Tamandua tetradactyla: one gene and its partner. The protein of the gene in region 2 purifies or fractionates together with the protein of the main gene of each other region. This does not show direct contact. Links are inferred from orthologs where the notes say so. Each region holds a gene or a part of one and is shown on either strand. Other genes may lie near its edges.

The links.
Region 1: the proteins of BBS7 (region 2) and BBS4 purify together in Homo sapiens (co-immunoprecipitation; 7 studies listed by BioGRID and IntAct, counting the BioPlex papers as one, with this or other methods). This does not show direct contact. The link is inferred for Tamandua tetradactyla from reciprocal best matches to the Homo sapiens genes BBS7 and BBS4.

What each region holds. Positions count from the first base shown.
Region 1 is NC_135338.1:69,647,173-69,657,234, reverse strand, and holds the start of BBS4 (BBSome complex member BBS4), read left to right. Parts: upstream 1-5,884; 5' UTR 5,885-5,939; coding exon 5,940-5,963; intron 5,964-10,062.
Region 2 is NC_135348.1:46,865,799-46,876,203, reverse strand, and holds the start of BBS7 (BBSome complex member BBS7), read right to left. Parts: upstream 4,217-10,405; 5' UTR 4,118-4,216; coding exon 4,082-4,117; intron 2,766-4,081; exon of another isoform or gene 1,324-2,765; intron 1-1,323.

The DNA of each region.
Region 1 (10,062 bases), on a different chromosome or scaffold from region 2:
ACTTTCTATGCATAGTGCAACAATCAATGGCTTACAATATCATCACATAGTTATGTATTCATCACCATGGTCATTTTTTAGAACATTTGCATTACTCCAGACAAAAAAGTAAAAAGAAAAAAGAAAAAACTCATATATCCCATACACCTTACCTCTCACTCTCATCGATCACTAGTGTTTCCATCTACCCAATTTATTTTACCCTTTGTCCCCCAATTATTTATTTATTCATTTAATCCACATTTTTTACTCATTGGTCCATACCCTTGATATAAGGAGCATCAGACACAAGGTTCTCACAATCATACAGTCACATTGTAAACATTGTGTCTTAATACAACCATCTTCAAGAATTTAGGTTACTGGAATACAGCTCAATACTTACAGGTCCCTCCCTCTAGCCACTCCAATACACCATAAACTTAAAAGGGATATCTATATAATGCATAAGAATAACCTCCAGGGTAACCTCTCAACTCTGTTTGAAATCTCTCAGCCACTTACACTTTATTTCATCTCATTTCTCTCTTCCCCCTTTTGGTCACGTAGACTTTCTCAATCTCTTGATGCTGGGTCCTGGCTTATACCAGGATTTCTGTCCCATGTTTCCAGGGAGATTTATACCCCTGGGAGTCTTGTCTCACATAGGAGGGAAGGCAGTGAGTCTACATGCTGAGTTGACTTAGAGAGAGAGGCCACATCTGAGCAACAAAGGAGGTTCTCTGGGGGTGACTCTTAGGCCTAATTTTAAGTAGGCTTAGTTTGTCCTTTGCAGGAATAAGTTTCATAGGGACAAATACCAGGATCGAGGGCTAGACCTATTGATTTGGTTTTCCCCACTGTTTGCTAGAGTATTAGAAATTCTCAAAATGGGGAAGTTAAATATATCCTCCAAAAGAGGGGCATTTGCAACTTTGGGATGGCATAGTATGGCTAACACCTGGGTATGGTAGATTAAGCCAGACAGCCTCTCTCTGTTGGGAACAACAGAATCATTTACAATGGTATAACATTTCCAATACAAAGAGAATGGTGTGGCTGCCTCCAGAGCAATGTCTCCAAATTATAATATTACAGGAGAGTGACTGGTTTGGGACAGACTGGACTAATAGACCTAATGTTTTCTGTTTAGCTCTGAACAGAACTCATGGTTATATGGTACCAACCTATGGCCCTGGTTATCTCCAGGTTGAATAGGCAGATGCACTCTAGGATTACCCTGGGCTCAAGGAAGTATTCATAAAACTCTGTCTTCAGGAGCTAGGTAAAAGTTTTAAAAGTTTGATGGGCCCAGTCAGTATTTCATTGGTGTGACCATCTAGCTGCTATATTTCTGCCATCATTAGGTATTGAAGATGTTATACTTAGGATAGAGGCACCAAACAATTTTATACAGCAAGCCTTAAATGATAGCCTCAAAAGTTTATCCCTTAAGCACTGAAGTGACCCTAATGTGTAAAGCAGTACTACAAAACTGAATGGTCTTAGATCTTAACAGCTTCACAAGGAAGGACATGTGCTATAATAAAAACTGAATGTTGTACCTATATACCTGATGAATCTGAAAATGTAACTAAAGTCAATAGAACATATGAAAAATCAAATTAATGCCATAGACATTAGCTCCACATCCTTCAGCATATTTGATTTATTTTGTTGGCTTCCTACAGGAATAGGATCCTGGTTTCATTCAGTATTTCAAGCAGGGCTAATGATACTACTAATAATAATTATGAGCATAAACTCATCTTTAAAACATGTCTCTATCTCTTATCCCAGCCCTGCCATAATTGAAATATAGGAGAAGACTTAATACTATGGAAAAAACCTGAAGTTAAAGAATATATCCAACTATAATAAGAAGTTCCACTCCTTAAACCCTTAGGGAGATGCCCCTTTATTAGCAGGAAGTAGCCAGAGTGGTTGTCATCCAGATATCCCTCAAGATTGGGGAATTGTCAAATGACAGGGAGGAATTGTTACCAAGAAATCAGGATTTAAGGGATGATTTTAATTGCTGACTCATTACATAGATATTCCTTTTTGCTTTCTGGTATGTTGGAGTAGACAGGGGGAAATTCCTGAAATCTCTAAATTGTAATCTGGTTGCCTTGATCTCTGATAATGATTGTATAACCTTTATCTTTTGCCCTTGTGATTGTAAGCCTTGTGACTAATCTTCATCTGTACCCACTGATCCAGTTTTATAACTTTAGAGTCTCGTAATCACTAAGAACAGACCCTAATATTTGTTAATGATGGGTCTTGAGTCTGCCCAGAACTAATCCACCCCAAGTCCAAAATTATGTTGATGACTGAAACTGGATCTAATCAAAGTGGGCCCACCTGAAATGCACAGTAGTTTAGACTTTATCCTACAAGTCACCTATACCTCATTCCGCTATTTTCTTTCATACATTTTGTGACTAAGCATGTAAACAATCTATGCACGCTCAATAATCAGATCACCCCTAATTACATTATCTGGAACCACTGTGCTCATTATCCTAAACCTTGCCCATCCTTCCTCTAATAAAAAACTATATAAATTACTGGAGTTTGGGGAGACAAATTTTGGGCCACTAGGCCATCTGCTCTCCCACTATGCCCCTAGTAATAAACTCTTTCTCTCTTTGAAACTCCAGGGTCTCAGGAATCAGTTATTGAGCACGTTGGGCAAAAGAACCCATGACCTTTGTCTGGTAACATCTCCAAGGAAACAACCTAATGAAAAGATCCCATTCACAATAAGTTTATCCCACAAGATTGGATTAAAAGTGTATGGCTTTTCTAGGGTACCTAACAGTTTCAAGTCAGCACAGTACTGATTAGCTTATTTGAAGCCCTCAGATGAGTCCTTGGACTTTTCAATTACTTGCATTCATTAATTCCACTTTTATGCATATGCCAGTTTGAGTTGGGGTTCTGTTGCTTATAATCCAAATAATACTTAAACAGCCAATTTGAAATGTTTATTTTTAAAACAAATTTTTAATTTTTTTTTAAAATAAGAAACACAAACATTCTTAATATATGATCATTCCGTTCTACATATATAATCAGTAATTCACAATATCATCACATAGTTGCATATTCATTATCATGATCATTTCTTGGAACATTCGCATCACTTCAGAAAAAGAAATAAAAAGACAACAGAAAAATAAAACAAAAACAGAAAAAAAATTATATATACCATACCCCTTACCCCTCCCTTTCATTGTTCACTAGCGTGAAATGTTTATGTTGATGGTAAGACTGGAAAGTTAAGTTTTCTTTTCAACACAAATATTTATATGGAGACTAAGAATCATGTAAAATCTTGATGATAGGATTCAATGTGATATATTGGAAAGAATATCAGCCCAGAAGTCAGAAAATTTGGGTTCTAATCCTGGAAGTTCATTCAGCTGTATGACTTTGCAAAATTAAGCCGATTATCAAAATAATTAAGCGTTCATATTTGCTTTGAATGTTGCAATATGTGAGGTCAAAGTACTACTAGCATTCCTTCCAGAGCTTCTTATGTATATATAATGGTAAGTTTTGATTTGGGGGGTGTTTTAAATTTATCAGCTGCTTAAGAAAATACCATGAAATAGGTTGGATTAAACAATGAGAATTTATTTGCTCAAAGTTTGAGGCTGGGAAAAATTTCACATGTAGGCATCACCAAGGCGGTGCTTTCTTCCTTAACACTGGCATTCTGAGTGGACTGCTGGTGACCCTTGGTCTCTAGCTTGTCATGACAGAGTTTTCCTGTGTCTCCCTTCTCTTTCATTGTTGTTCAGTTTCTTGCTTACTGTGGCTTTCTCTTGCTTTTCAAATACTGGGGTGAGGGTTTTAACATATCCAAACATTGGGGAGACCACCTTGTTCTTGAACCCACCCCTGGAAGCATCTGGATGGCACCGGGACTCTCTGCCATCTCCAGGCACATGCTCAACTCCTCCAGAAAAGTAGGGTGTTGGCCGGGCTCTCCCCAACCCCAGTGAAATGTGCTCCACCTTCCTTGCCTCATGGGCAAACTCACCTTTCCATGTGCATTGCTGGAGAGTGCCTCTGCAGAGACAAACATTACCAGTTTCTTGTGATTTCTTCTAAAAATTGTACTTAATATGTGTATAAATATTTCCCTTTCTAATTCATCACAAATGGAAGCATACTATAAAAATTTTTGACGGTTTTTTTTTCACAAAATTATTTAACACTCTCAAAGTCTTTTAGAGGCTGCATAATTTGCCTTAGTATGGATTATTGGTTTATTTAAATAGTTCCCAGTGATGGACATTTAAATTGTTTCCAGTATTTTTTTGTATCAGGAACAATGAGGTATATATATTTTTCTCAACATTCTCTGTTGAGTATATTTGAAGTATCAGGAATACGTACATTTAAAATCTTCATGAAGGGTCTTGGGGCTTCATGTTATTTTAGAGTGTTGTTTTTCCCAAGTGTTGGCTGGGCTGTTCAGGGTTTGATGGTATGAATTTTGGGAGGACTGGCCATTTCAAAAGAGGCAGAAAGAGATAGAGAGTTACCCTGCAGGTGACATCAAAACAAAGCTAGAGGTAGACCCTAGCAAAGTGTGAAATTAAAATGTTTACAATTCCTTTGTTATACATGTGTTGGTGAAGTTTAAAAGTTTCTAATGTTTGATCCTTTCCCTACCTCCTCAGCCCCTACCATGGAGAAGAAACAATAAATGTCATTTTGCTTGGAACACATTGCCCAGCTATATGACTTGAGTGATCCTGATAAGTAGGAGCACATGGCCACTTTCAAGGTTTTCTAAGGAAGATTAAGACTCATGTGTTACATTAGAACCGTTCTTTATGTGATTTCTGGGATTTTCCTATGAAGAGATTATGTTGCATGACATTTTTCTTATTAGTTATCTAAAGTATCTTAAATTGGCGACTGAAATTTGAGAAATCAATGTGCAACCTTATTGTAATCCTTTGCACAAGAAATGCCCTCTCTTCTTCCTATGATCTGGATTCAAAGGAGAGATATTAAGACATATAGTAATAATGATTTCTATTTATTGAATAACATGAACAAAAAGAATGTCTGACTTTTCACAGGACCCCTTTCAGGGAGATTTTCTTTATTGGGAACAAGGCTCATGAGCTTCCTGAACCAACAACTGCTCCTTTCCTAAGGCCCCTCTTCTGAGTACTTGGTTGTACCATTCACCCAGTTGCTTAAATTAGGGACCTGGCAATTTTCCTTTGGGATTTCCCTTTTCCTCATTCTCCCACATTCAATTCTGTACCATCTACTTTATGTTCTACCTCTTAAATTTCTTAAGAATCCATTTTTTCTTGATTTTGCCATTACTCTAGTCCATGTGAACTGTTTCATTGTATCTTTTCTTGCTGTATTCTTTTAATCTACTTAGATTATCAATTCTTATTTCCCTCCCAATTAATTCTCCACTCATTAGCTGGATATTAACAGTCAAGAAACAGGGTTGTAACGTAAGGCGTGAAAATGAGATTCTGCCCTAAGGTTTTGGACCTGGGGAGGGGCGGGGTGTGTGTGGTGGAACTCCCAGGAAGACTGAAATAAACGCAGACTGGAGCCAGGGCAAGAAAGAGATTTGAAGACTGCGCAGCATCTCTAGGTTAAGTTGGCCACGCTCAGCTGGAGGCCTGGTATTTCTCCAGCAGAGTCTTCGGGTGGGGGTTTAGAGACTACACATTTCCTCACCGGCATGGTCAGAGGGAAGCCGGCTACGAAGCGGACTCTGACCCTACAGCTCCATTCCCTGAGGACCCTGAATCTCCCACTCAGAGCCTCAGCCCAAGCCCCAGCAATCCTCCTACTTCCCTTCTCAGGCCCCGCCCTCCTGTTTACAGTCCAACCAACTTCCGTTTGCCTGGTAGTCTGGGAATCCACCGACTTCCGGCCTCCGTGAGGCTGGCTGAACCAAAATGGCTGAGGACGGACTCACGGTGGTGAGCGCCAAGATTCTCCGTAGCGTCTGGGCGGCCAGGGAGGGCCGGGTTGGGAGGGTGGCGAGGTAAATTGGTGGGCACTGGGTCTTGGCTCTTGGCCCCAGTTCCACACAGCCGCCCTTGGGGAGATGCGGAGCCAGGTCCAGAGCAGTTTGGGATGGGCGGGCGTGATACAGTCGGTCTTCTGCTTCCCCGGAAACAGGTCGGCGTAGGGCGGGTGTGAATTCTTTGCAGTGGGGGTCTGTTCTAGGGCTGTGGTACCCCGTGAGCTGCGTTTAGCGGAAAAGGGAGACATCCACCAGATACAGCTGTTTTCTTTGCTTCGTCTTTTTAGCATCACGGGATTTGGAAAGGAAGCATTATCACATGTGTAGAGACAGTTTTTGCTAATCCCGTGGATTAGGAATTTAGTTTGATGAAGCTTGAAAGTCTTCAGTGTCACTGCTGTAATTAGCGTTTAGGAAATTACTGTTACGAGATTCAGTTGGAGATTGAGTTAGGATTTGATTAAACTCCCTGGAATTGTTGTTACAGAGTAACCCAGATAAATACAGCATGAGCCAACAGTAGTTGGTTTTGAGGTATATAATCATAATTTGTGAAAGCACCAAGTGTCAAACTTGTATTCTTGCCTTAGGGTTTCAAAACAATTCCGCCGATTTGTTAGACTGATTTTAGTTCAGAATTTATTGCTCTCTGAAAAACCCTGGAAAACATAGAAGACAAAAAATAGCAGCGTTTGGCTGACCATTTGATCATGTAGTTTTAGGTGTTTAGGAGCTAGGTCAAATTTATCTTCTGAGGCGGGGCTTTTCTATTCTATACCTTCTCATCTGCAGAGTTATCAAATTATTTCAGTTTTAATCAGAAGAAAGGAAAACAGGGAAGGAGGCTCAAAGCAGAGATTTTAAGTGTGAGATGTAATTGTTCACTACAGGTATAGAGAGGTGTTCGTGTGACAGAATATGAACTTGATTTCTGTGATGGTAGAATGGTTCTGTACTCTCAAAGCTCTCAGAATTATCCTGTACTTTTAAGGAGAACTACGTTTCTGGGTTCAGTGGGACTTTAGCACTTAAGCCTGAAGTTAATTTATTATTTTCGGTGTTGTTAGATTTGTTGCTAACAATCTAGTATTGATAGTAATTTTATTTTTTCAAGTTAACACCACATTGAAATTTGATTTCTGTCCTTTTTGGAAAGTGATAATTATAAATTATCTAATAAAATTAAAAGGACCTGTTACTCTTTGACCCAGAAATTCCACTTGTACATCTGTGTAGGGTAGACATAAAAGTGAAACAAGCGTATAGTACAAGGGCATTCATTGCAGTACTATTTGTGGTGACAGAAAGCTGGAAACAAAGTGAATACCTATTAGGAAAGTAATGGATTAATAACTTGTGGTATTAACATACTGTGGAATATTATGCAACCATTACAAAGAATGTTAGAAGTATGCGTGTTGATAGGGGAAGATTTTCATGGTATACATTTGTTAATACAGGATTTGGAGGAATACTGTGCAATCTAAATTTTGTGACTTAAAGGAAAAAACACATAGATCTATAAATATGGACATACACACAGAGGAGAAAAGGTTAAAAGACTTAAAACTCTAGATGAAACTGTGAACACATGATAAAAGTAAAAATGCTGCAGTAAATGCCTTGAAGCTGTGAAATATCCCAGCATAACTGAGTGAAAGTGGCCCAGTGTGGAACACACAAATTCTAATACACCACTAGAACTATTATGGATTATTACCAGTTCCTTAGGAAGAAAACTGGAAACTGATATACACATCTATATAGTGTAAATATGTATGATAAATGGTTTAGAGTTCTTATAATGAAAAAAGGAAAGAAAGCTAGCAAATAGCTTGGGTTTAAGTTGAAGAAAGATCTTGGAAAACCATGATTTGTACTTACAAAATTTTTATAACTCCCTAATTCTCATTATGTGATATACTTGTATAAATATCCATCTGTTCTCCTATGAATGAAAGGAGGAAAACTTTACAGAACTGAGAGAAATATCCTCTCTGCACTTGTTGATCTGTGTCAGGTAGTGCTTAGTACATATCAGGTGCTCCCTGAATATTTGTGAGATAAGTAAATAACAATTACATAAAAATGAAGAAAGAGCCGAAAAACATGATGGATTTACTCATACATACATTACACCTATGAATGAGAATAAGTGGGCTTTTAGAATCCTTTCCATTTCTCAGAATGTTCTGGAAAAAATCTTTTGGAAAGAAGACTCAATTATGATTTATTTTAATTCCACTTTGTGCAGAAGAAGTAGGGTTGTTGACTCATAAAGGTAGAGAAGATGCCTTTTGATCCTCTAAGAATCTCCTTCCCCCTTCCCCCAAATTTCCAATTAGATTTTAAGAAAAGTTAAATCCTTTAGCATTTTTAAAACAGCCTTATTGAGGGACAATTTATATATCATAAAATTCTTCCATTTTAAGTGTATACTGTGTGTAGTTTTAGTAAATTTGTATATTTCCACAATCCATGTGCAATTAGAACATGTCCATTACTATAAAAAATTCCCTTATACAACGTTTGCAGCCAGTTGCTACTTCTGAATTCAGGCCACCACTGATCTACTTTCTGTCTTTATAGTTTTGCCTTTCTGAGAAATTTGGTGTACAAACATACCTTAGAGATATTGTGGGTTCGGTTCCAGAGCACTGCAATAAAGTAAATATCACACTAGTTACAAATTTTTTGGTTTTGTAGTGCATATTAAAGTTATGGTTACACTATCCTGTAGTCTATTAAGTGTGCAATAGCATTATGTCTGAAAAACAATTGTACATATCTTAATTTAAAATATTTATGAAAAAATGCCAACCATCATCTGATCCTTCAGCAAGTTGTCATCTGTTGGCTGATGGAGGGTCTTGCCTAGAAGTTGTTGGCCGCTAACTGATTAGGGTGTTAGTTACTGAAGGTTAAGACAACAATGAAGTTTACCACATTGATTGACTCCTCCTTTTATGAAAGACTTCTCTGTAGTATGTTATGTTTTATAGCACAGTAGAATTTCTTTCAAAATTGGGAGTCAATCCTTTCAGATCCTACCACTCTTTATCAACTAAGTTTTTGTAATATTTAAAAATCTTTGTTGTCATTTGAACAGTATTCACAGCCTCTTCACCACGGGTAGATTCCATCTCGAGAAACCACTTTCTTTGCTTATCCATCAGAAGCAACTCTTCATCCATTCAAATGTTGTCATGAGATTGCAGCAATTCAGTCACATCTTTGGACTCCACTTCTAATTTCAGTTCTCTTGCTATTTCAGCCACATCTGCAGTTACTTCCTCCACTGAAATCTTGAACCCCTCAAAGTGGTCTCTGAGAGTTGGAATCAACTTCTCCCAAACATTGGTTAATGTTGATATTTTGCCCTCCTCCCATAAATCCCAAATGTTCTTTTTTTTTTTTTTTAATATTTTTGTTGAGATATCTTCACACACATACAGTCCATCCAAAGTATACAGGCAGTGGCTCACAATATCATCACCTAGTTGCTAACTGTTCTTAATGGCATCTAGAATGGTGAATCCTTTCCAAGAAGGTTTTCAGAGCCACCAGAGGAGTCATTCTGTATGGCAACTATAGCCTTATGAAATGTATTTCTTATGTAATAAGACCTGAAAGTCCAAAAGACTCCTTGATCCATTGATTGCAGAATGGATGTTGTGTTAGGAGGCAGGAAAATTACATTCATCATGTACATCTCCATAAGAGCTCTGAGGTGCATTGTCAATGATTGGTAATATTTTGAGAGGAATCTCTCTTTTTTTGAGCATTAGGTCTCGACAGTGTGTTTATAATATTCGGCAAACTGTATTGTAAACAGATGTGCTGTCATCCAAGCTTAGTTATTCTGTTTTTAGAGCACAGACAGAGTAGATTTAGCATAACTCTTAAGGGCCCTAGGATTTTCAGAATGGTAAATGAGCATTGACTCAAAATTGAAGTCACTAAATTAGCCCCTAAAAAGAGAGTTAACCTGTCCTTTGAAGTGTTGAATCCAGGTATTGACTTCTCCTCTCTAGCTATGAAAGTCCTAGATG
Region 2 (10,405 bases):
GGAGACTTCAGTACACCACTTTCAATAACAGATAAAAATCTAAATAGAAAGTCATTAAGGAAATAGAACACATGAATGATACTCTAAATTAACTAGCCCTACCAGATATACATAGAACAATTTAACCAACAACAGAAGAAGACACATTCTTCTCTAGTGTACATGAGTCATTCTTTAGGATAGACCATAGATTAGATCTCAAGCCAGGTGTCGATAAATTTAAAAATACTGAAATCATACAATGTATCTTCTCAGACAACAATGGAATGAAGCTAGAAATCAGTTACACAAAGAAAACTGGGAAATTCACAATATGTAGAAATTTAAAAACATACTCTTAAACAACCAATAGGTCAAAGAAGAAATCACAAGAAAAATTAGGAAATACCTTGAGTGAATGAAAGCAAAAACACAACATACCAAAACTTAGGGGATACAGCAAAGGCAGTGCTGAGGGAGAAAGTTACAACTCTAAATGCTTACAGTAAAAACCAAGGGAGATCTCAAATCAGAGATCTCAATAGCCAAAACCATCTTGAAAAAGAAAGCGGGAGGACTCATATGCACCTATTTTAAAAGCTTATTATAAAGCTACAGTGGTCAAAACAGTGTGGTATTGGCACAAGGACAGACATATAGACCAATGGAATCAGACTGAAAGTTCAGAAGTAAAACCTTTAAAGCTAGGGTCAATTGATTTTTGACAAGAGTGCCAAGTCCACTCAACAGGGAAAAGAATAGTCTCTTCCACAAATGGTGTTAAGGAAACCGGAATGCCATATCCAAGGAATGAAAGTGGACTCTACTTCACACCATATCCAAAAATTAACTCAAAATGGATTAAAGAGCTAAATAGAAGAATCAAAACTATAAAACTCCAAAAAGAAAACAGGGCAGTATCTTCAGGACCTTGTGTTAGGCAACGGTTTCTTAGATTTTACCCCAAAAGCACAAGCTAAAAAAAAAAAGGATAAATGGACATATCAAAATTAAAAACTTTTAAGCATCAGAGGACTTCACTATGAAAGTAAAAGGACAACCTACAGAACGGGAGAAAGCATTTGGAACCAGCATATTCCATAAGGGGTTAATATCCAGAATATATAAACTCTTACAACTCAACAGCCAAAAGACAAACAACCCAATTTTAAAAATAGGTCTGTTCTAGTTTGCTAGCTGCCAGAATGCAATAAACCAGAAATGGAATGGCTTTCAAAAGGGGAATTTAATAAGTTGCTAGTTTACAGTTCTAAGGCCGAAAAAATGTCCCAATTAAAACAAGTCTATAGAAATGTCCAATCTAAGGCATCCAGGGAAAGATACCTTGGTTCAAGAAGGTCAATGAAGCTCAGGGTCTCTCTCTCAAGTGAGAAGGCACATGGTGAACACAGTCAGGGTTTCTCTCTCATCTGGAAAGGCACATGAACACAGTGTCATCTGCTAGCTTTCTCTCCTGGCTTCTGGTTTCATGAAGCTCCCCAGGAGGCGTTTTCCTTCTTCATTTCCAAAGGTTCCTGGCTGGTGGACTCTGCTTCATGGTGCTGCAGAATTCTCTGTTCCCTCTGAATCTCTCATTCTCCACAATGTTTCCTCTTTTGCAGGACTCCATTAAACTAATCAAGACCCACTCAAATGGGTGGAGACATGTCTCCACCTAATCCAGTTTAACAACCACTCTTGATTGAGTCACATCTCCACGGAGATGATCTAATTACAGTTTCAAGCATACAGTATTGAATAGGGATTAGAAGAAATGGCTGCCTTTACAAAATGAGATTAGAATTAAAGCATGGCTTTTCTAGGGTACACACAACCTTTCAAAACGGCACAGGGTCAAAGACTCAAATTTCTCCAACAATACACACACAAAAAAAAACACATGAAAAGATGCTAGACATCATTAGCCATTTGGGAAAAGTAAATCAAAACCACAGATACCATTTCACACCCACTAAAATGGTTACTACTGAAAACCAGAAAATAGCAAGTTTGTAGGAGAAAACGTGGAGAAACAGGAACACTGCTGGTGGGAACGTAAAATGAAGTACCTCCCATGGAACACAGTGTGGTGGCTCCTCAGAAAGTTAAGCACAGAATTACCATCTAACCTGGCAATCCCACTTTAGGCATACACCCAAAGGAAATGAAAGCAGGGATTCAAATAATGTTTCACATCAGCATTCATAGGGACATTATCCACAACTGCCAAAAGGTAGACACAAACCAAGTGTCCTTCAACAGATAAACAGATAATCAAAATGGGGTGCATACATACAACGGAGTATTATTCAATCCTAAAAAGGAACAAAATTGTGACATATGCTAACAACATGGATGAACCCTGAAGACAGCAGGTAAAATAAGTCAGCACAAAAAGGACAAATATTGTTTGACCTCACTTATACAAGATAATTAGAATATGCAAATGCATAATCAGAAACTAGAATACAATGTGCTTCACCAATTGTAATAACGGTAATACTAACACGAAATGTAAACAGGGAAAACTGAGTGTGAGGACTGGATACATGAGAACTCCACTTTCTTCATGGTTTTCCTGGAAACCTACAACTTCTCTAATTAATAAAAACAAAAAAATGCCATTATTTTTAGCTATTAAGCAAGTTACTTCCTTTCTCTGAGTCCCTGGATTGTCATATACGTTCTACTTCGAAGGCTTTTTATTAGGATTAAACGTATATTAAATTCTTAGACTGAATTAGATGCTCAATAAAGGGCTGCCATTGCTTTTATCATGGTCTGGCTGGTGCAGTCAAGCTCAGTCTAAAGTAATAGTTTCTGGGAGAAGGGACGGATATAAATGGAGATTTGGGCGTTTGCGGTGCAAGGTGGCTGCACCAGGGAAAGGGGGGGACAGGGCCCAGGTGCAGTCCGGGTCGGGGCCCGTCACACGTCCAGGGCACGTCTGGGCAGGTGCAGTCCGGGTGGGGGCCCGTCACACGTCCAGGGCACGTCTGGGCAGGTGCAGTCCAGGTGGGGGCCCGTCACACGTCCAGGGCACGTCTGGGCAGGTGCAGTCCGGGTGGGGGCCCGTCACAGGTCCAGGGCACGTGTGGGCAGGTGCAGTCCGGGTCGGGGCCTGTCACACGTCCAGGAGCACCCCCGGCTCCAGGCAGGTGCAGTCCAGGTGGGGGCCCGTCACACGTCCAGGGCACGTGTGGGCAGGTGCAGTCCGGGTGGGGGCCCATCAGACGTCCAGGGCACGTCTGGGCAGGTGCAGTCCGGGTCGGGGTCCGTCAGACGTCCAGGGCACGTCTGGGCAGGTGCAGTCCGGGTCAGGGCTTGTCACACGTCCAGGGCATGTGTGGGCAGGTGCAGTCCGGGTCGGGGCCCGTCACACGTCCAGGGCACGTGTGGGCAGGTGCAGTCCGGGTCGGGGCCCGTCACACGTCCAGGGCACGTCTGGGCAGGTGCAGTCTGGGTCAGGGCTTGTCACACGTCCAGGGCATGTGTGGGCAGGTGCAGTCCGGGTCGGGGCCCGTCACAGGTCCAGGGCACGTGTGGGCAGGTGCAGTCCGGGTCGGGGCCCGTCACACGTCCAGGGCACGTCTGGGCAGGTGCAGTCCGGGTCGGGGCCCGTCACACGTCCAGGGCACGTCCGAGCAGGTGCAGTCCGGGTCGGGGCCCGTCACACGTCCAGGGCACGTCCGGGCAGGTGCAGTCCGGGTCGGGGCCCGTCACACGTCCAGGGCACGTGTGGGCAGGTGCAGTCCGGGTCGGGGCCCGTCACACGTCCAGGGCACGTGTGGGCAGGTGCAGTCCGGGTCGGGGCCCGTCACACGTCCAGGGCACGTGTGGGCAGGTGCAGTCCGGTGGGGGCCCGTCACACGTCCAGGAGCACCCCCGGCTCCGGGCAGGTGCAGTCCGGTTCGGGGCCCGACACACGTCCCCGGCCCTGGACAGGCGCCTGCCCGCCCCGCCGGAGCCCGCCGCGTCCCTCACGTCCTCACCGGGCGTCCAGGAGGGCGGCGCCCACCTGGCCCCCGACCACTCCCGTGAAGGAAGGGCCGCTCGGGGAGAGGCCCACCCAGCGCGGCGCCCGCCCGCCCCGCGGACATACCTGCAAATAGTCAGTCCGGTTCAGGCTGAGATCCATGGCGCGGGGTCGCAGCCCAGGACCGCCCTGGACCGCGCCTCAGCCCCGCGCAGACGCCCCCGCGGCCCTCGACCCGCAACCCCAGAGGCGGCGACGGGAGCGCTGGGGTGGCGTCAGCGCAGCGGCGGCGTGACGTCAGCACGCTCACCCGCGGGGCCCTGGGCGCATGTACAGCCCGCCCTCCGCCCTCCCAACGGCCCGCCCACGGCTTAGCCTGCTCCAATCAGAGGCGGAGAGGAACGTGAGGCGGGTCCTGGAGACCGCGAGGGCGGTTTCCATGGAGACAGGGAACGCCTCCTAGCTGCGCAGTCCCGGCTGTCGGAGTGGGACCGCTCCTGGGGCGAGGCCAGCATGGATTCCGACCCGTTGCATCTGACACGGGAACGGATCCCCGCGAGAGTCAGGCTCCACCTGCACAGCCGTTAATTTCCAGCCGTGCCCCAGCTCTTAGCCTTAACCCCTTTAGAAAACTCTTGAGTTGAGGACCACGGAGAGCTTTGGTTATGTGAGTTTCTGATATTTGCCATTTTAGAAATTAGAACTAAAATTTCAAAAACTAAATTTACTAAAAACACAATAAAATCCCATTACACAAATAACGTAGTTGAATTAAAAAGATATTTTCTAAAATTAAGAAGTTTTAAAAAGTGCTACTGTTTGCAAATCTATTTTACTATCTGCCTTAACAGAAGACAGTCGGAATCCCAATTCTGCTTCTGCACTCAATCTATTGCTAGAAATTGTTTTTGTTGAAGTATACGAAGAAAATTTTACCCAAATCCAACAAGTAGTAGGTTTTTTAAAGTGTCAGTTGCAGTGTAGAATGTGGCTTCTTTATTCAATATCAAAAATCCAATTTGTTAATATCACCGCAGGTCTCATCAGAAAGTCTTGCAGTATTAGAAAGCTGTCAAAATCAAATGATGGATACAGATTTTCCAAATTTCCAATTAGTACTTGAAAATCTGAATTTTAAGCATAGCCAACATGTTTGTTTTCCTTGAACTGATAGGCTCCCTTCTTGAATTCATGAGATGTATGCCAAATACCCAAGTCTGAAGAATCACAATTTGTCTGGCAGATGTCGTTTCACATAGTATTCAGTGAAAGAGGAGCAAGCTCAGGTAGCAAATCAAATAATGTCAATGTACTTTGGTATTCAGCAGAAGTCCTTTATGCATACCTTCCATATCATCACAATTTAAAAATATATACTCGAGTTGATATTTACAATAAACAATTATTCCTTCACAAAGGACTTTTTTGTTTACTTTTTTATTGTATAATATAACATATATACAAAGCAAAGAAAGAAAAAGCAGTAGTTTTCAAAGCACTGTTCAACAAGTAGACAGATCCCAGAGTCTGTCATGGGCTACCATATCATCATCTCAGATTTTTCCTTCTAGCTGCTCCAGAACACTGGAGGGACAAATATTTTTACCATCACAATCGACTTTTTTTCTTTTTTGTGAAATATAATCAATATACAAAAAAGCAATAAATTTCAAAGCACATTGCAACGATTAGTTGTAGAACAGATTTCACAATCTGGTGTGGGTTACAATTCCACAATTTTTGGCGTTTACTTCCAGCTGCTCTAAGGTACTAAGACTAAAAGAAATATCAATATAAGGATTCAGTGATCATCCTCATTTGTTAAACACAACCTTCTCTGTATAACTCTACCATCACCTTTGATCTTTCTCTCATTCTTTAGGGGTATTTGGATTATGCCTATTCTAACTTTTTCATGTTGGAAGGGGCTATCAGTAATATGGGGTAGTGAGATGGAACTAGCTGATGTTCTGGAGACGCTGGGCCCTCTAGGTTTCAAGACTTATCTTGTCTAGGGACCCATCTGGAGGTTGTAAGTTTCTGGAAAGTTACCCTAGTGCATGGAACCTTTGTAGAATCTTATATAATGCTCTAGGTGTTCTTTAGGCTTGGCTGGAATGGTTTTGGTTGGGGTTGGCAAGTTATGATAGGTAGTAATGTCTCATTGAAGTTTGCATAAGAGTGACCTCCAGAGTAGCCTCTCGACTCTATTTGAACTCTCTCAGCTACTGATACCTCATTTGTTACACTTCTTTTCCCCTGTTGGTCAGGATGGCATTATATATCTGATGGCGCCAGGGCCATCCCTGGGAGTCCTCTCCCATGCCGCCAGGGAGACTTTCACCCTTGGATGTCAGGTCCATGTAGGAGGGAGGGCAATGATTTCACTTACAGAGTTCGGCTTAGAAAGAGAGGGGTCACATCTGAGCAACAAGAGGTCCTCTGGAGGTAACTCTTAGACACACTTATAGGTAGGTTAAGCTTTTCCGCTACCTACATAAGCTTCACAAGAGGAAGCCTCAGGATCAAGGGTTTGGTCTATTGATTGGGGTATCCCTACAATCTAACACAGTATCAGGGGTTTCTCCAGTGATAAAGTTTAATAGTTCCATATTTTTTATCCCAGCCCTCAAGGTATTTTGTCAATATTTTTTGATTATCTGTTTAATATACTCTAGGATGTATCCAGGCATTACATTAAGCTATCTGGTCTCCCTGTGTTTTGATTGTTTAAATGAGCTATCCAGACAAGTAGTGTTAGATTATGTGCTACAGAAAATTTAGTTTCCAGGCAAAATAAATCTTTTTTCCACAAAGGACATTTTTATATGAGCCTTTTTTTTTTGTTTCCTACCAGTGTGTGGCATGATGACTCTAATGGCTGTTAGTACTGTATAGCTTAGAGTCCCTGCTCCCATTCAGGCACCAGCACTATTGCCTGCAATGCCTGCACAGTGCAAATGCAAGCCCAGTGAAAACATAAAGTTAGTCTTAGTATTATTTAGTTTCAAAATATCAAACTCCCTTGGCCTCAGCCTTCCCCACTCCCGCCCTGGGGTCAGCACACGGCTCTTTGGGAACCTCTGGCTTTCGTGACCTAAGAGCTGATATTCCCTTCGCTCACTTCTGTAGGTCCTTCTTTAGTGCTCACAGCGTTCTGCCTTGGACGTAGATAAGTACACTTCCTTTTCTGTCTCGTGTGGGCTATTAGGGGAGAGCTCAGTTCACAAATGATTGTGAAACAAGAAGAGTTAAAACCCTGAGAAGAGTGCTTTTTGGAAGATAAATTATTTCTTGCAGAAGAATAATCTGAAAAAGTTTTGCCTAAGTTCTAGTATATCCCAGACAATTCTTTTTTGAGGCTAAAATAACTCCATATTAAGGAAGGCAACAATATATGAAGATAGTATAGCTGTTTAGCAAGTTGGGAACAATATATATCAATTTTAAATGCCACAGAAATTACTTTAGTGATAAATTTTAGAAGTAAATTGCAACATGAAACCACAGAGGAGATAGGATAAAATATAATTGTATAGAATTATACAATTCTATACAATTTTTTACTAATTCATACCCATTAGTAAAAAAACACTGTGACTACAATAAACAAGTGAGTAAGAAACTAAACATAGTAGGCATTCTACTGTCCCAAAGATTGCAAAAAAGGGTTATGTCACAACCGTGGATACTAAATCCTCCCACTGTGTATTTCTTGTTTCCCTCCTCCCTGGCACTATGTTAACAATTTGAGGGAAATGGTACAGATATCATTATTGCTGTTTATGTGCAATAACAAGCCAACCATCAGAATGTTGAAAACCTGATAAGTGGGCAGAAATTCTTTTTTTTTAATGACCTTTGGGGAGTATGATGCATAGTCCAGGGATGGATAAGACTTTAGAAGCTTTCTAATCCAGTGCTATAATTGCACAAAGCCCTTAGGGATTTAAAATGTGTGTCGTTTTTTCATTGTACATGATAGAAAGGTAATTTTAAAGAAAAAAATTCACAATAAATTGCTATCTAATTAAGGTAGCATTATAAAATTCAACTTTATACAATCTCTACAATATTTACAATAAAAACAAATTGGTAAAGAATAGTTTCCATTTAACAAGTAAAGCTCACTCTTTATTTCACTTTAATCATGTAGAAAAAGTTTATTTTGAAGATCAAATTTATTTTAAAGCATTGAAATGAAAAAATGTCATGGCATTGAAAATTGACAGAAAAAGAGCTTGCAAAATAAAATATTCAGAGTTCTTTCATTCTGCATCCAAAAAAAAGGTAACTTATTATTTTAAAAGCTGTGTTTTGTCTCTGAATGATTAACAAAAGTTCGAACTATTATTTTTTAAACACTTCTCAACTAAGTCGCTAGCAGATATGAAGAGTTTTTATTCTAAATAAATAAATAAATTGCCACCATATTTTCCCTTTGTAAACATGTTTTGAGGTACTAAAAACCAGCAGATGATTGATTGTATCTCAGATGTGGTGAAGAGCACAGGCCTTCAGATCGGTTTGCAGGAGTATCATGCTCCTCGGTAACTCGTCCTTTTACCTTGTGGTGGTCAAGCAGCCATTATGGGCAACCACTAAGCAACTGATGATGAAGAACCAAAGCCATTTAAATTGCCTTCAAGTTAAACCGTAAATACGTCTAGCGGTGGTTTCCCGAGCGACTGAGTCCTGAAGACAAATTGCCCTTCACTAGTGTGCTCCCTTGGTAAAAATGTGGAAACTTACTTTTTTTAAAAGCAGAAAAACAGCCATTTTAGATTTATTTTTTAAAAAACTAAGGGGAGAAATGGAAAGCATGATCATGGTTGCTCCTTGGGCATCACACCCTGAAACGCTTCTACCCCCGACATCCGGAGCCCTGATGGCGTAAACCGGTTTTGGAAGAACAAGTCACTAAGATCCAGCCACACAATTAATCAACGTAGCTTCAGTTCTCCTGCTCAGTAAGACAATTTCCCTTCTCATTTACAAAAACTGCTTTCACTTGGCTTAGGGATTTGAAATAATATATTGGACATGATTGCATAAAAGAGCTATTCTTAAATGGTTCTCAAATTTATTTTAATAATCACAACATATTCATGTGATTTCTAACTTTTTATAGTGCACAGAACTGTTTGAAGATACTAGATCTTATTTTATATTGTTCCCTATTTTAGGTCTATAAATCCGAGCTTCTCTACATTGTGAACATAATGTCAAGTGTCTTCAGTAAATTTAATGCAGCAGGCACTTAGACAACGCTGAGCTTTCAATACAGTAAGCTTAAGAAACAGTGTGGTAAGGGGTGTGGTATGTTTAATCTTTTTTTTTCTGTTATCGTTTTATTTTTTTCTGTTGTCTTTTTCTTTTCCTAAATTGATGCAAATATTCTGAGATGATGAATATGCAACTATGTGACGATATTAAGAATTACTGATTATATATGTAGAATGGAATGATATGTTAATGTTTTTGTTTGTTTGCTGTTAATTTAAAAAAAAAAGAAACAATGTGCGTGTGCTTCCTTTCCTTCATCTTCTCTGTAACTGAGAAATGAACTGAGAACAGTAAGGAGGTCAACAGGTAAGAGATGATACAGGAAAGAAAGGGACCTAAACAACTCTTTCTAGATAAGCTGTTTTGGATCCTCTTAAAACGCTCCCTTCTGCCCAGTTGTCCTACCAAGCACCAGCGTCTTCACGCTTTGCCTTAAAGTCCAACATGCCTGTTACAAGACTGACAGCGGCAAGAGCCTGCTGGACCAGGGCTACCGTTCACTTGAGAAGGAGCATTAAGTCTGACAAGCATTCCCCAGCCGAAGCCTCACCTTGATCCAAGCTACCAAATGTGGTGTCTTGGGATTAGGGCATGTCCCCTAGAAGCAAAGCCTAAGATGGGATGTGGGTGCAGGGATGTGCTGAGGGAGGGAGTGCTCTCAGGAGCAATGCAAGAGGGAACAGGACAAGGCAGGGGTAGGAGCTACGCAAGGATGCAGTCCCAGCTGAAGTCTGGCTTCAGCCTGACCCTCGGGGCGCTCTGGAGCAGAAACTGCACCGAAAGTTTGGCCTCACCTTGAGACAAAGGGCCTGCCTCTTTCCCCATCCCAGTCAATCAGTTATTGGGCATGGAATGGTGGAGAAGTAACATCTGGGCAAGGTCGCTGCCCCCCTCCACTGGGGCGATTCTCTGGAGAAAGGGCTTTGAGGTGCCAACACGCACAGCATCCGGGGGGTGCAGGGTCCGGCTCGGTAAAGGGGTCCGGGCTGGGCTTCCACCAAACCCGCTACCCCTCGTCGTCACATCTTCCTTGACTGCCAATAGGAACTATGAGGAGGGACAAAGACAAATATTGAGAGCACGGCTGTTTCATACAAGCATAGTAAAGAAAGGAAAACAACCTACACTAAGAGCTCCAGAGTTGGAAGAGGGGTGCACCCCCCA